Linked DNA regions of Callithrix jacchus. The protein of the gene in region 1 interacts with the protein of each later gene in a pairwise test. Links are inferred from orthologs where the notes say so. Each region holds a gene or a part of one and is shown on either strand. Other genes may lie near its edges.

Evidence for each region.
Region 2: the proteins of AHCYL1 (region 1) and CDKN2C interact in binary tests that used the Homo sapiens proteins (3 or more experiments, as listed by UniProt). The two-hybrid records come from large-scale screens. The link is inferred for Callithrix jacchus from reciprocal best matches to the Homo sapiens genes AHCYL1 and CDKN2C.
Region 3: the proteins of AHCYL1 (region 1) and SLC23A1 interact in binary tests that used the Homo sapiens proteins (3 or more experiments, as listed by UniProt). The two-hybrid records come from large-scale screens. The link is inferred for Callithrix jacchus from reciprocal best matches to the Homo sapiens genes AHCYL1 and SLC23A1.

The regions. Positions count from the first base shown.
Region 1 is NC_133508.1:147,860,504-147,864,140, reverse strand, and holds part of AHCYL1 (S-adenosylhomocysteine hydrolase-like protein 1), read right to left. Parts: intron 2,999-3,637; coding exon 2,855-2,998; intron 1,852-2,854; coding exon 1,751-1,851; intron 1,312-1,750; coding exon 1,209-1,311; intron 1-1,208. UniProt on the Homo sapiens protein: Multifaceted cellular regulator which coordinates several essential cellular functions including regulation of epithelial HCO3(-) and fluid secretion, mRNA processing and DNA replication.
Region 2 is NC_133508.1:87,839,295-87,843,527, reverse strand, and holds the start of CDKN2C (cyclin-dependent kinase 4 inhibitor C), read right to left. Parts: upstream 2,875-4,233; 5' UTR 1,630-2,874; intron 1,175-1,629; 5' UTR 1,164-1,174; coding exon 1,035-1,163; intron 1-1,034. UniProt on the Homo sapiens protein: Interacts strongly with CDK6, weakly with CDK4. Inhibits cell growth and proliferation with a correlated dependence on endogenous retinoblastoma protein RB.
Region 3 is NC_133503.1:37,763,986-37,768,162, forward strand, and holds the start of SLC23A1 (solute carrier family 23 member 1), read right to left. Parts: upstream 2,927-4,177; 5' UTR 2,875-2,926; coding exon 2,839-2,874; intron 2,240-2,838; coding exon 2,126-2,239; intron 1,688-2,125; coding exon 1,530-1,687; intron 515-1,529; coding exon 426-514; intron 265-425; coding exon 197-264; intron 35-196; coding exon 1-34.

The DNA.
Region 1 (3,637 bases):
TGAACCTGGGAGGCAGAGGTTGTAGTGAGTTGAGATTGTGCCACTACACTCCAGCCTGGGCAACAGAGTGAGACTCTGTCTCAAGAAAAAACAAAAAGAGAAAGATGAGAGGTCCTCAAAGAAACTTCACAGTGATTTTCTTCTGAATATTTGAATAATAAAAATTATTATTATTATTATTATTTTTGAGATGGAGTTTCACTCTGTTGCCCAGGCTGCATTGCAGTGGCACGATCTCAGATCAGTGCAGCTCATTGCAACCTCTGCCTCCCGGATTCAAGCGATTCTCCTGCCTCAGCCTCCCAAGTAGCTGGGATTATGGGTGCACACCACCACACTCAGCTAATTTTTGTATTTTTAGTAGAGACTGGGTTTCGCCATGTTGGCCAGGCTGGTCTTGAACTCCTGGCCTCAAGTGATCTGCCCGCTTTGGTCTCCCAAAGTGCTGGGATTATAGGCGTGGGCCACCGTGCCTGGATGAATAATAAAAATTACTTTATGTTTAACTAAACTCATGAAAGCCATATATTTTAATGCCATACTGAATACCAAACTATTTAATGCACTACCAACATAACAGGTACTTCTTATTTGTGCTCTCTCACAAAACTGATAGCACTTACATAGTTTAACATTCTTCCTTGTTCAACTAACATTAGAACTGTGCATTTCCCCATGCCATTAGATTCCTTTCAAAGGTCTTTTTTTTTTGAGATGGAATTTCGCTCTGTTACCAGGGTGGAGTGCAGTGGCGTAATCTTGGCTCACTACAACCTCTGCTTCTTGGTTTCAAGCTATTCTCTTGCTTCAGCCTCCCAAGTAGCTGGGACCTATAGGCACCTAGCACCATGCCCAGTTAATTTTTTTCTAAATATATTTTTAGTAGAGACAGGGTTTCACCATGTTAGCCAGGGTGTTCTTGATCTCTTGACCTCATGATCCACCCACCTCAGCCTCCCAAAGTGCTAGGATTACAGGCATGAGCCATCGTGCCCAGCATCAAAGGTCATTTTTAATGACTATATAAAATTCCATCATGGATAAACGTCTTAATTTTAGTATCCACTTTTTTCCTGTTGAGGTTTTTATCATTCCCAATTTTGCAGCCTCCAGACATATATGATACTGTAATGACAATTTCGATACATAAAACTTATATGTTTGGATAATTATTTTGGGGCAAAGTTAGTGAAAACATCTGAACTTACCAGCCTCAGCCAGTGCTGCAGCGACTTCATTCTGAGTTGAGTAGATGTTACAAGCAGACCAGCGGCACTGGGCCCCCAGGGCACAGAGTGTCTCAATCAACACCTGTGTAGAGGTGTAGGAAGACAGGGTGAGGAAGAGAAGGGCTACCCAGACATAGAGAGCAAACGTCAGCAAGGTAACAATACCTATCAGCTCTGCACCAACAGGCACTACACTGGGAAGTTACAGAAGGGTGTAATCCAGCAAGGTGGTGCCCTGGTACTGAACTTGACAGAGAACATAGATTTCTAGTCTTAATAACATCTTAAAACAATCATATGTTTGCAAATCTAGACCTTCCTAGGTCAAGTTTGCTAAAAGTGGGTTTGCTTATACAAACAAAAACAGAAAACCCCGTTATTGTGTTACTAGGGAGATCCTACTAATAAGATCCTCCGAACTCGCATTTGGAGGTTGGCAAGTTACGAAAAGCGAAACAAACAAAAAATCCATTTCTTTCTTCCCCTTGTCAGAAGTCCCTCTTTTCTTCCAAAAAACTCACCGCTGTCTGGGCCGTGATATGTGTACAGCCCACTATTTTAGCACCAGCCAAGGGCTTCTCCCCCTGAGCACGTTTCCTGAGTGAAATCAGAGCAGACATGTCTGTGAAAGAACAGAGGATTTGAGCTAGGTCTGCACTAGCAGTATCATCAATTTCTGCCCCAGAGCTGGTCTGGATCTGTTGAGATATGGTGAAATGAGGCAGAAAAACTTTGAGCCTATTTTCATGACAACTGGCAGCTTCAACAGCAGAGTAACAGTGGAGAGCTGTCATGCAACCACTTGGAGTTTCTCTCTTCCTCTACTGCTTCAGCTTTATATGCAGAGGGCTGAAGAGAGAATGAAGTAAATCCTCAAAACTGATCAAAATGAAGGGTGAGTCTCATCATTCAGTTGGGAAGAGAGAGAAGTAGTTAAGGCATTGGCTAACAGATTCCTATGTAGAATCATCAGACCAGGAAGACTACCCTCGGCGGAACCCACTGACTTCTGTTTTTCTATGTTGTCTTACGGTATCCTGTCAGTCTGTTTGGTTTCTCTACTGCCTCTCAGTATAGAACATGCCTCCAATGTGTAAACAACACAAGACTAAAGAAGACCTTACTGGGAGTGGCTGGACTAGAGAAACCAAGATTTAACTGTCAGTCATTTCTACTCTTTGTCAGCAGAGGGTGCTCAGGACCAAACAAGACTCTAGGTCACCACATCCTTAGCTTAAAACCCTTCCTAATCAGCTGCTTCTGGGAAATCTGGGTCTCTGCCATTGGCAGCTATAGTAATATCCCATATAACAAACTACCACGTAGTGATCTAGGACTTGCCAGCTCTGGCATGTAGATCTTTGAAGACGGTGGTGGTAGTGGGAGCGGGGAGGAAAACAGAAACTCTCTGTGTGTAATCACCACATGCTGAGAACAGGAGAAAGAGAGAACAAGAGTCCTGAGTCTCAAGTTCCATAGAGAGAGAAGTGTTTATCCTAAAGTCCATAATATAGTCTTTCTTCCTAGGATATTTTCAAGTCAGCTTTCAAGTCTTAAGTTGTTTGTGGATCTGACGGCCAACAAGAGGGTTGCTTCTGGCCCCCTAACCCACTCCCTTTCTTTACCTTGCTCTGCAATCTCAATCTCCCGGCGTCCAAATTCTGCCTGCTTGATGTTCTTCACACAGAAATTGCTGCTACCCTTGGAGTTGGTTTGCTGCTTCTCTCGGGGAGAAACCTCATCATCAGAGCTATCTGTGTAGGATGCAGCTAGAGCCAGGAAAGAAAAAAAAACAAGGATAGAAAAACCTCAGTGGCCCCAACTCTGCAGCGCAGTCCCAAAGGACTTTCATTTAAGTTAAGGGAGCTACCTTTCACGAGCCTCTCAGTTCTGCTCCTCTAGGTGGCATGAATGAAACTGTTGTGGATGCTTCTGTGTTACAGCTCTTTCACCCACCCTAATACTGTGCTATTAGTGCCTGTGATAAGAGACCACTGATTCTAAACCTGTACCAACTATAGTAATTCCGGATAAAAGAGGTACCTGGTCCCGTCTGGATTGGAAGCAGACCTGGCGAAAACGGAAGAATTAATTTAGGGCAGATAAGGAAAGCTATTTCTATAGATCACTGGTTCTCAAATTCAAGCATCTATCACAATCACATGGGAGGTTTGTTAAAATATGTATTACTAGACCCCATGGCCAGTTTCCCATTTGGTAGGTATGGAGTGGCGCCTAATAATCAGTATTTCCAGCATGTTACCAGGTGTTGCTGATGCTGTTAGTCAGAGGACCTCACTTTAAGAACCAAGGGTAAAGACAAAGTGATAAGATAGTCTACAAGGGATTTTACACTAGCTTGTGCTCAAGGAATAGAGAAAGAAAGAAACGGCACAAAAGACAAGCAG
Region 2 (4,233 bases), about 60 Mb from region 1:
TAAACTTCCTTAATACTGAAATTTTTGCAAGGTCAGTGTATTCTGATTAAAAATGTACAGATTGTACGAACTTTGTTAATAGTATATCTCCTGCCACTTAAATTTTTAATTCTTGTAACTGAAACAAAGCCCTCTAAAAACCCTCTCCCCACTGGGTTTTCAAAAACAGCTTCAAGTGTTGCATTTCCAAATAAGAATAGCTCATAAGAATATCATCAGGACTCTGATAAAACAACTATTTTAGACTATTTTGTCATTTTTCTGTTTCTAAGCTTTTCTTCTAAGTTACATGGTAACATTCAGAAGAGGAAAAAATATATCAGGTACAATACTTGGCAGCTGGACATGTGTCAATTGTTGCCTGTAAACCTAATTACTGAAAATTAGAGCACACCACGGCTTGACCGTAGAGACAAAGACACTGCAGCTGAGCTCTGATTAGAAAATTCAACTTTTTATTCCTCCCGACTCCTGAATTAGTGGATGGTATTACATTAACTGTGAAATGTACATCCTGTCCCGGTGCCCAGGGCACCCCTTCCAAACAAGGAAAGGTCGTTTGTCAAAACTTGAAGCATTTGAAGGAAAAACATCCTCACCAGTAGTTAAGAAAATCAACGATAAAGTCAATTATTGAGGGCAAAATACGTGAAACCACTAATAGCAGTGTATTTACTACAAATAATAATCATAATAATGTGTTTACAAAGCTGTCTTTAAAAACAAAGCAAAGCAAACAAACCTCGGCCCTACTATGACTACTTTAAAATCCCCACCGTCACAAAAACATTCCAAAAACTAAGACCAAACCTCGACCCTACTTGATATCAAGAATGTTATTGGATTTCAGGAGTTTGTTCAAAGTACGTCATTTTGAGAAGTTGGATCCACTTAAGATATAAAATATGGCAACCAACTAGGTTTAAAAACAGTGAAATTTTGAACCCTTGAAAGCATAAAAGCTATAATTCTAGAAACCCGGCTCACGTAGGCAACATTATTGACCTGTTTTCCCCACCTCTCTGAATACCAACCTGCAGCGCAGTCCTTCCAAATCCATTTTGCGCATTGACGTTTACATTATTTTGCAACAAACTAGTAAGTTGCTGTAGGTCCCCCCTGGCAGCTGCGGACGCCAACTCGTTCCCCCAAGGCTCGGCCATTCTTTAGGGTCCTGACGATCGGGAAAAGATGAATTAGTCGTTTTTCTTTTTCCCCTTTCCTTTGCTCCTAACCAGGCTGCATGATGGCATCGGAGACTGACAGAAGGACTGGGATGGTTAATCTGGAGTAGAGCTTGGTAGTAAATACTAGTAAGATCTGCCTGCCAAAAGCCCGCCCCTAGATTCACACGTGATTATTCAGCAAAACTGAGCCATTGGAGAGGGGCTCCTCGCCTCGCTTTTTAGCTTAACCCCTATGAAGAATTCTGAGGACTCCACGGAGAGACACACAGACACACAAACATTCCTGGTTAATGACTCCGGACGTCAGATGTAGGCAGAGCTGTCACGTACCTACGCTACAGATCTCCGTGAGGAGTGTGTGTGGAGACTTAAGGGACTAGATCGGGGCAGAAAATACCGCGGAAGGCAAGACATTCGGGGGGAAGAAAAGACATTCACCCACCCTTGTTCACGGTGGTGACTTGAGCCGTGTGCGGCAGAACTGCAGGGGCAGGTCCTCCAGGGGGCTCGGTTTCCATCCGTCTCGCCGAAGGGGTAATCCTGGGTCCTCCGCTGCTGGGAGAGCGCCGCGGTGGCTGGATGCTGACGTGCTCCGGGGGGTTAAAAGATGATCGCCAAAGGCGAACGGGAGTAGCAGTTCCTTGGCCCTCAAGTTACAGGTCGTAACTACTGCCCAGTGCTCTGGACTTCTCCAGAAAAGCCTTTAGTCGCGTCTGGGCCAAGCAGTGAGCTAATGCCGCTCAGGAAAGCTCTGGAGCTCGCCAGCCAGGCAGCCGCAGCCCCGCCGAGCCTCAGAGGCCGTGGGAGCCGGGCTCGGCGCGCGTCTCCGGAGGCTGCCGGGCGTGCGGCGGGTCCCGGAGAAGCCCGTCATGCCGGCCCCGCCAGGTCCCGGGACTCCCGGCAGCCTAAGGGAGGAGGAGAGCGATGCGGGAAGCGTCTAAGGGGCCCGGGCTGTTGGGGCAGCTCGCGGCAGCATTGCGGCTGCACTGGGCAGCCCCCCGGGAACTTCCTGCCTACGACCGAGCTCGTTCAGGCTTTCTGCTGCAGGCACTCATTGAGCTGCCGCCGTCGCCGTCCTATCCCGGTTTTGTGGGGTCTCCGGAGTTGGGGAGAGTCCGGGAAAGCGTAGGCCAAGTTCTGAATAGAGGTAGTCGCCACAGTTCCAGGGCGCAGCCAGTCCCGCCGCCGTCTCGGCGAGAGCTCAGCAGCTTCAGCGCCCGGTGCCACTTCGCCAACCTCTCGCGGTCCCTGGCCTGTGCCCCTTTGCTGCGGACAGGGCAGCCGCCAGCCAGCTGTGCCCTGGAGACGAGCCTGGCAGCACTGCTTACTCCCTGGACGCACCGCTCCCAGTGACAGTTTCTTTTGTAGCTGATCCCCTCCTAGATCGCCGGTCCCTGCTCTCTTCACCCCTACAGGCACTCGCGCGTCGCCCCTTTTTTTGCTTTTTTCCTTCCCTCCCTCTCTTGCTGCTTTTTTCGCTGAAACAATTGCTGCTTCTGCTGCCTCTCAGAGACGGTGCCGGTTTCTTCTCCCTTTTTTCCGACCTCATCAGCTTTTTTTGAAAAGAAAAAAATTGAGCGCTTTTTGAGTTGAAAAACCCGCCCCCATTTTAACGGCAGAGTTTTAAGGAGGCTCGGCGGAGTTGCAGCTCCGCGGGAGCGGGAAGGCCGGGCACCGCCCACGCCCCGCCCTCCGCCCCGCTGGCGCTCGCGCTAGCCGCCTCGCAAGCTCCGCCCGCCCGGCCCAGCGCCTTCACTCCCGCCTCGCGTTCCCCGCCTCCTCCCGTCTAGTCTCTCGCGCCGGCTCCCGCCCGCGGGCTAGGCGGCCTGGCCCCAGCTGGAGCGGGGTTCGGCACCGCGAAGCCCGGCCTGCCTTTCTTCTGCTAGCGGGTTGGGTCTGCGACGCGAACCCCCCAGCTGCCTCGATTCCTATGGGGGCGAGGGCGGGGGGTTGTTATTTAAGACGGTCTAGAAGGGCCGCAGAGCCTTTGAGGCTCGCGGAGCTGGTTGCGGGAAGGCGGAGAGCTAGCTGGCAAAAAGGGAGTCGTTCTCCAGCTCTAGCGGGGCAGGTCGGCCCGCCTCAGAGCTCCCCCGCCAGGCTAGCAAAGTTCGTGCGGCCAGGCCTGCCTTCTGCTGCCGCTGCCTCCTCTAGGGCGCTCGCGCTCTGTAAACTCGGCTGCTTTGGCTGAGCTCTGGGCCTCGGCCGGCCTCGCACCTGCTAGATCCACGCAGACGGCTGCGGTGGGCAGAGGTGGCCCCGGGGGTGGAGGGAAAAATCCGGGCTGCCACTAAGCGCAGTGCTCACAAAAAGCAAGTCTTGTATAGACTGAATTTTATGAAAACTTAAGTAGGTAAGAATAACGAACTCTGAAGCCTTAATCAAGGACTAGAAACTGAAATAGTCCAATTATTGGAGAAAAAGGAGAAAAGCAATCAAATTTAAAGCAAAATTTAAAATAAGTCGTGTGAAGTGTTTTCTAACAAAGTCATTTCTTTGTTGCCTAAGTTCTCTCACTACTTAGAAGCGGCTTGGTTTTTCGGGGGTCTCGGGTTAGGGAGGGTGTCTAGATGTAAAGGAATGGTCTCTCTCCTAATCCTTTACTTAATCATCCAACACCAATTTTTATTACTTTTAACTTCCTCTTTTAGTTGTGCGAGATAGGTTAACTATTGCTTTCTATATTTTTATACTCTTAATCCAACAGGGTTGCATGATGCACCCAGTGGTCAAAATGAAACCAAGCAAAAAATGACAAGTCTAATTAGAACCGGCCTTTGGCAAGCGGATGCGCAAGCAATATCTGTACCCTTCTCCCTGAAGTACACAGAGTATTAGCAACAAGACACACCAGAAACATCTGGATAATTATGTAGCAGCAGACTGGCTGATAGAGGGAGAGTTGAAGCTGGGAAAAATCTGGCAGTGTTTTCTTTAACGTAATTGTTGAGAAAAAAACTAGTTATCTTCTTCTTCTTTTTTTTTTTTTTTCTTTGAGACGGAGTTTCGCTCTTGTTACCCAGGCTGGAGTGCAATGGCGCGATCTCGG
Region 3 (4,177 bases), on another chromosome or scaffold:
CCACCACGCTGGACACCATGATTGCACCCTGGACCTGGAAGGGCAAACATCAGCTGTAAGTCACCATAACTTGGCAGCTAGCAGGATCAAAGCTTCTGGACCACCTCCTCAAATCCCCAAACTCCAGCGGCCACCCTCACTCCCATATAGCCCCTCCTCAGGACCCAGCCTCTTCCACTCTTACATGCAAACCCACCTCCCGTATCCGTGGGTGCCAGATATGAGAGGTATTCAGGGGCAGACTCCAGTTACCGTAGATCTCCTCTGGGGGTTGAGTCAGGACATACATGAACCAGGTACAGAGACAGATAGGGAGAGAAGATGCTGCCTTGGCTGCACCCGGTGTCTGCACCCAGGACAGGCTCAGACCTCCAGGTCTCTAGACCTCCCCTTTTCCCCTGTGCAGACCCCAGAAGTGTACCCACCTTCCGGAGGGCATTTCCATCTCTCCAGAGCCAATATGGCTTTGGCTGGAACCAGAAATGCAAAGGCACTGGCCTGGAACAGAGGCAGCCTGGAGGAGAGGCAAGAGCAACAGGGGAGGTAGGAGTGGGGTGGGGCAGGGTGGGGAGGAGGGATATAGTTGTAGGGACATCGGGAAAGGAGGGCACAGAAAGAGGGACAGAGACACGAGGGACAAGGGCACATGGAAGTCATTGAGGCCCCAGGGAAGACCATCTCTAACATTTTGGTGGTTCAAGGAAGAAAACAAATGGAACCCCCAGCTCAAAACGTGCCCCTTTTCCTTCCTCCTGCCAGCTCCTGCACTGTGAGGAGAGAGCAGATGGCTGGAAGTGGCCAGCTCAGTTCTCGAATCCAAGCTCCTCACACATCTTCCCCTGCCTCCCACTGCCCAAACAGCTCAAATGCCACCAGGCCTAGGGCTTTGCTCTTGGGGCGTGGGGCCCCAGGAGGGTGGGCTACTGAAGAGGCCAGCACTGGCCTTGGGAGCCAGCTCAGTGCTGCCATTTGGGCAGTATTCAGAATAGGCCTTAAGAGAGGAGAGCCGGCTGGGTGCAGTGGCTCACACCTGTAATCCCAGCACTTTGGGAGGCCAAGACGGGCGGATCACCTGAGGTCAGGAGTTCGAGATCAGCCTGACAAACATGGAGAAACCCTGTCTCTACTAAAAATACAAAATTAGCTGGGAGTCATGGTGCATGCCTATAATCCCAGCCACTCGGGAGGCTGAGGCAGGAGAATCACTTGAACCCACAAGGCTGAGGTTGCAGTGAGCCGAGATTGCACCATTGCACTCCAGCCTAGGCAACAAGAGTTAAGCTCTGACTCAAAAAAAAAAAAAAAGGGAGAGCCAATGAGGGCACATTCCCTTAAATCTGCAGATGCCTGGTCTCCGAAGTGCACCTAGATCAAGGTGCCCAGGGTCAAGGCCTCTCTCTAAGGCTGGCCTGGGATAGGAGAAGCAGCTGGATGTAGATAGTGGCTTTTTTTGTCTCACCGGCATCCTCTGGGAGACCACCTGCTCCTGCTGTGTGGATCACAGTGGGGGGGGGGGCTGGGCAGCTCACCGGATGCCCAGGGTGGTCTGGATGAGAGTGGTGATGCCCACGCATGTGAAGATGGTGCCGATGAGCTGACTGACCATGTGTTGGTCATGGCCCACACACAGCGCCTCGGCCAGCAGGAAGGGCACGGCGATGGTGCCACTGAAGCATGTCAGGTAGTGCTGGACAGAGGGAGGGAGCAGAATGCATAAGGCAGGACCCCAGAGCTCCAGGGAGAGGGGACAACCTAGTGTCCTCACATCTGCATCAGCAAGCCTGGACCTGCACTGCCCGCCCAGTACTGGCAGTCCCACAAGAGATTCCCAGAGAGCTAGTGCTCACCACTCTGGAATTACTAATCTCTGCTCAAGTTACTCCTGTGGCTTCTGTGGAGTGGGCTCTGCTCTCCGTCACCAACGCTCCACCTCGAAAGCGTCACACGCCCCCAGGGAGTTCATCTTCTCTCAGAACCTGACCTCTTCCCCAGCCCTGCCTGCTGACAGCCACTGTGCTGACCTGTTTTCTCTTCCTGTTACCCAAGATACTCCCTGCTGGCCAGGGAGGGGCTGGAGGCCCTGGGAAGTGCACAGGGTGAGGGCAGGGAGGCCCTGGGGACCCACCTGGAAGCCCAGCAGGATGCACAGGTACCAAGGTGGCACGTCCTCGATCTTATACAACATGTCAAACTTGGGCTCTGTGGGTAGGGGCATCGGGGGGTCCCTGGTGGATTCATGCTGGGGGCAGCAGAGAGAAGTAGCTTAGGGTGGAGTAATGGGGACAGGCAAAAATCCATTCTGCCCTGGAATCCATCAGGTAGCCCAAGTGGCCATTCAGCAACTGAGAGTAGGGTCCCTGCCCTCCCCAGCAGTCTATCCACCCGGCTGCCAGTCGGTCTGGCCACAGTTGTCTCCCCCTTCACATTACTTCCTGCAGGGATGAGTCTACTGTGCCGGCTTCCAGAGCCCTCAGGACCTGGCATTCTAGCCAGGGAAATGGACCCCTAAGTCAGAAGTCTTGGGGACCACAGGAGAGGGGGCTGAGAGGGCTCGAGACTGTGGACAAGCCCAACCTGGTCCCACTTCTTTCCCCTAGAGATCCTTAGGATGTCACTGGAGGGGAGGTTGGGCCCCTCCTGAACCCCAACCTGAGTCAGCCAGTCCCAAAGCTGACGCCTCCTTTATCCCCACCTCCACCCATCCCCCAGTTGCCACATTCAGTTTGGGCCAGTCAGTCTATTGAGTTCATCAGAACATTTATCTCTGGCCTCCGGGGAAAAGGCCTGCACCTGCACAGGCCCTCCCACCCCCACCACCCCACCCCCAGTCCCCAGCACCTGTGTCCGGCCCTTGGGGTCCTCCTGGGCCCTCATCTCTGGGGCACAGGTTTGAGTTGTTCCTGAGGAGAAGAGGGGATGACTTTACGAAGGCCAAGGAGGAGGACTTTACTCCACATATCAGGCATTGTTCGAAGTAAATCTGTAACCAGATGCCCAGCTCCGGATTGCGAAAGGGGGGCCCATACAAAGGTAACCTATTAACTTTCACTAGAGTAGTAAAGGCCACCCAAGCCTCTGACACATGTGTTCTTCCCAGCCTGCATCTGTGCCTGGGTGCCGGACCTGTTCTTGTTTTCCAAGAGAGGGCCAGAGTCGAGTCGAGGGGTGAGGACCGGAAATTTACCAGGTCCCAGGTGAGGGGAGAGAAGAAGGAGTGGAAACCAGCATTTATTATGTAACACCCTGTATAAGGCCCTTCCTCACTTATTTATTTTTTTATTTTTTTGAGACAGAATCTCACTCTTGTTGCCCAGGCTGGAGTGCAGTGGCGCGATCTCCGCTCACTACAACCTCTGCCCCCTGGGTTTAAGCAATTCTCCTGCCTCAGCCTCCCAAGTAGCTGGGCTTATAGGCATGTGCCACCATACCCAGCTAATTTTGTATTTTTAGTAGAGTCGGGATTTCTCCATGTTGGTCAGGCTGGTCTCGAACTCCCGACCTTCAGGTGATCTGCCCACCTCAGGCTCCCAAAGTGCTGGGATTACAGGCATGAGCTACCGCACCTGGCCCCTTCCCCACTTTTTAGTAACCGATTAATCATTATCATCATCATCATCACAGTCATTCTTGTTATTGAGGAATGGCCTTGTGTCAAGAAACATGGATAAGCACTGTCCCGAGTAGCCCCTGTGCTGGGTGGTATTCACCCCTTTCACAGCAGAGGAAACAGATTCAGTAGATGTGGTTTGACACAAGCCAAGCAGATAGCAAGGTTGCAGAAATCAATCCTAAAATTCAAGTTGGTCTGAGCTGCCTTAACCCCATTACCACGCACCCCTCAGGGTCCCTGAGGCAGGCAGCAGATGGGCCCCTGCAGGTGGAGCTGCCTAGGCTGGCCCGGCCTGGCCTGCACCCTGGGTCAGGACACTGATCCCTTTCCCCTCCCAGCCATATAATTTCTGGGACCCAGTGCAAAGTAAGAATGTGGGGCCTTTGTTCCAAAAGTATGAAGAATTTAAAGACAGCAACAGTAGAGCATTGGATGGAGCATAGGGACTTTCTACGCATCGGGCCCTGTGTGGCTGCCCATCCCAGCCCAGGAAGGTAGTCCTGTGCTCACGCCGTCTCCCCTCCTCTCAGGCCCAGCCTAGCCTGGCCCTAGGGCCTGAGGATGGCA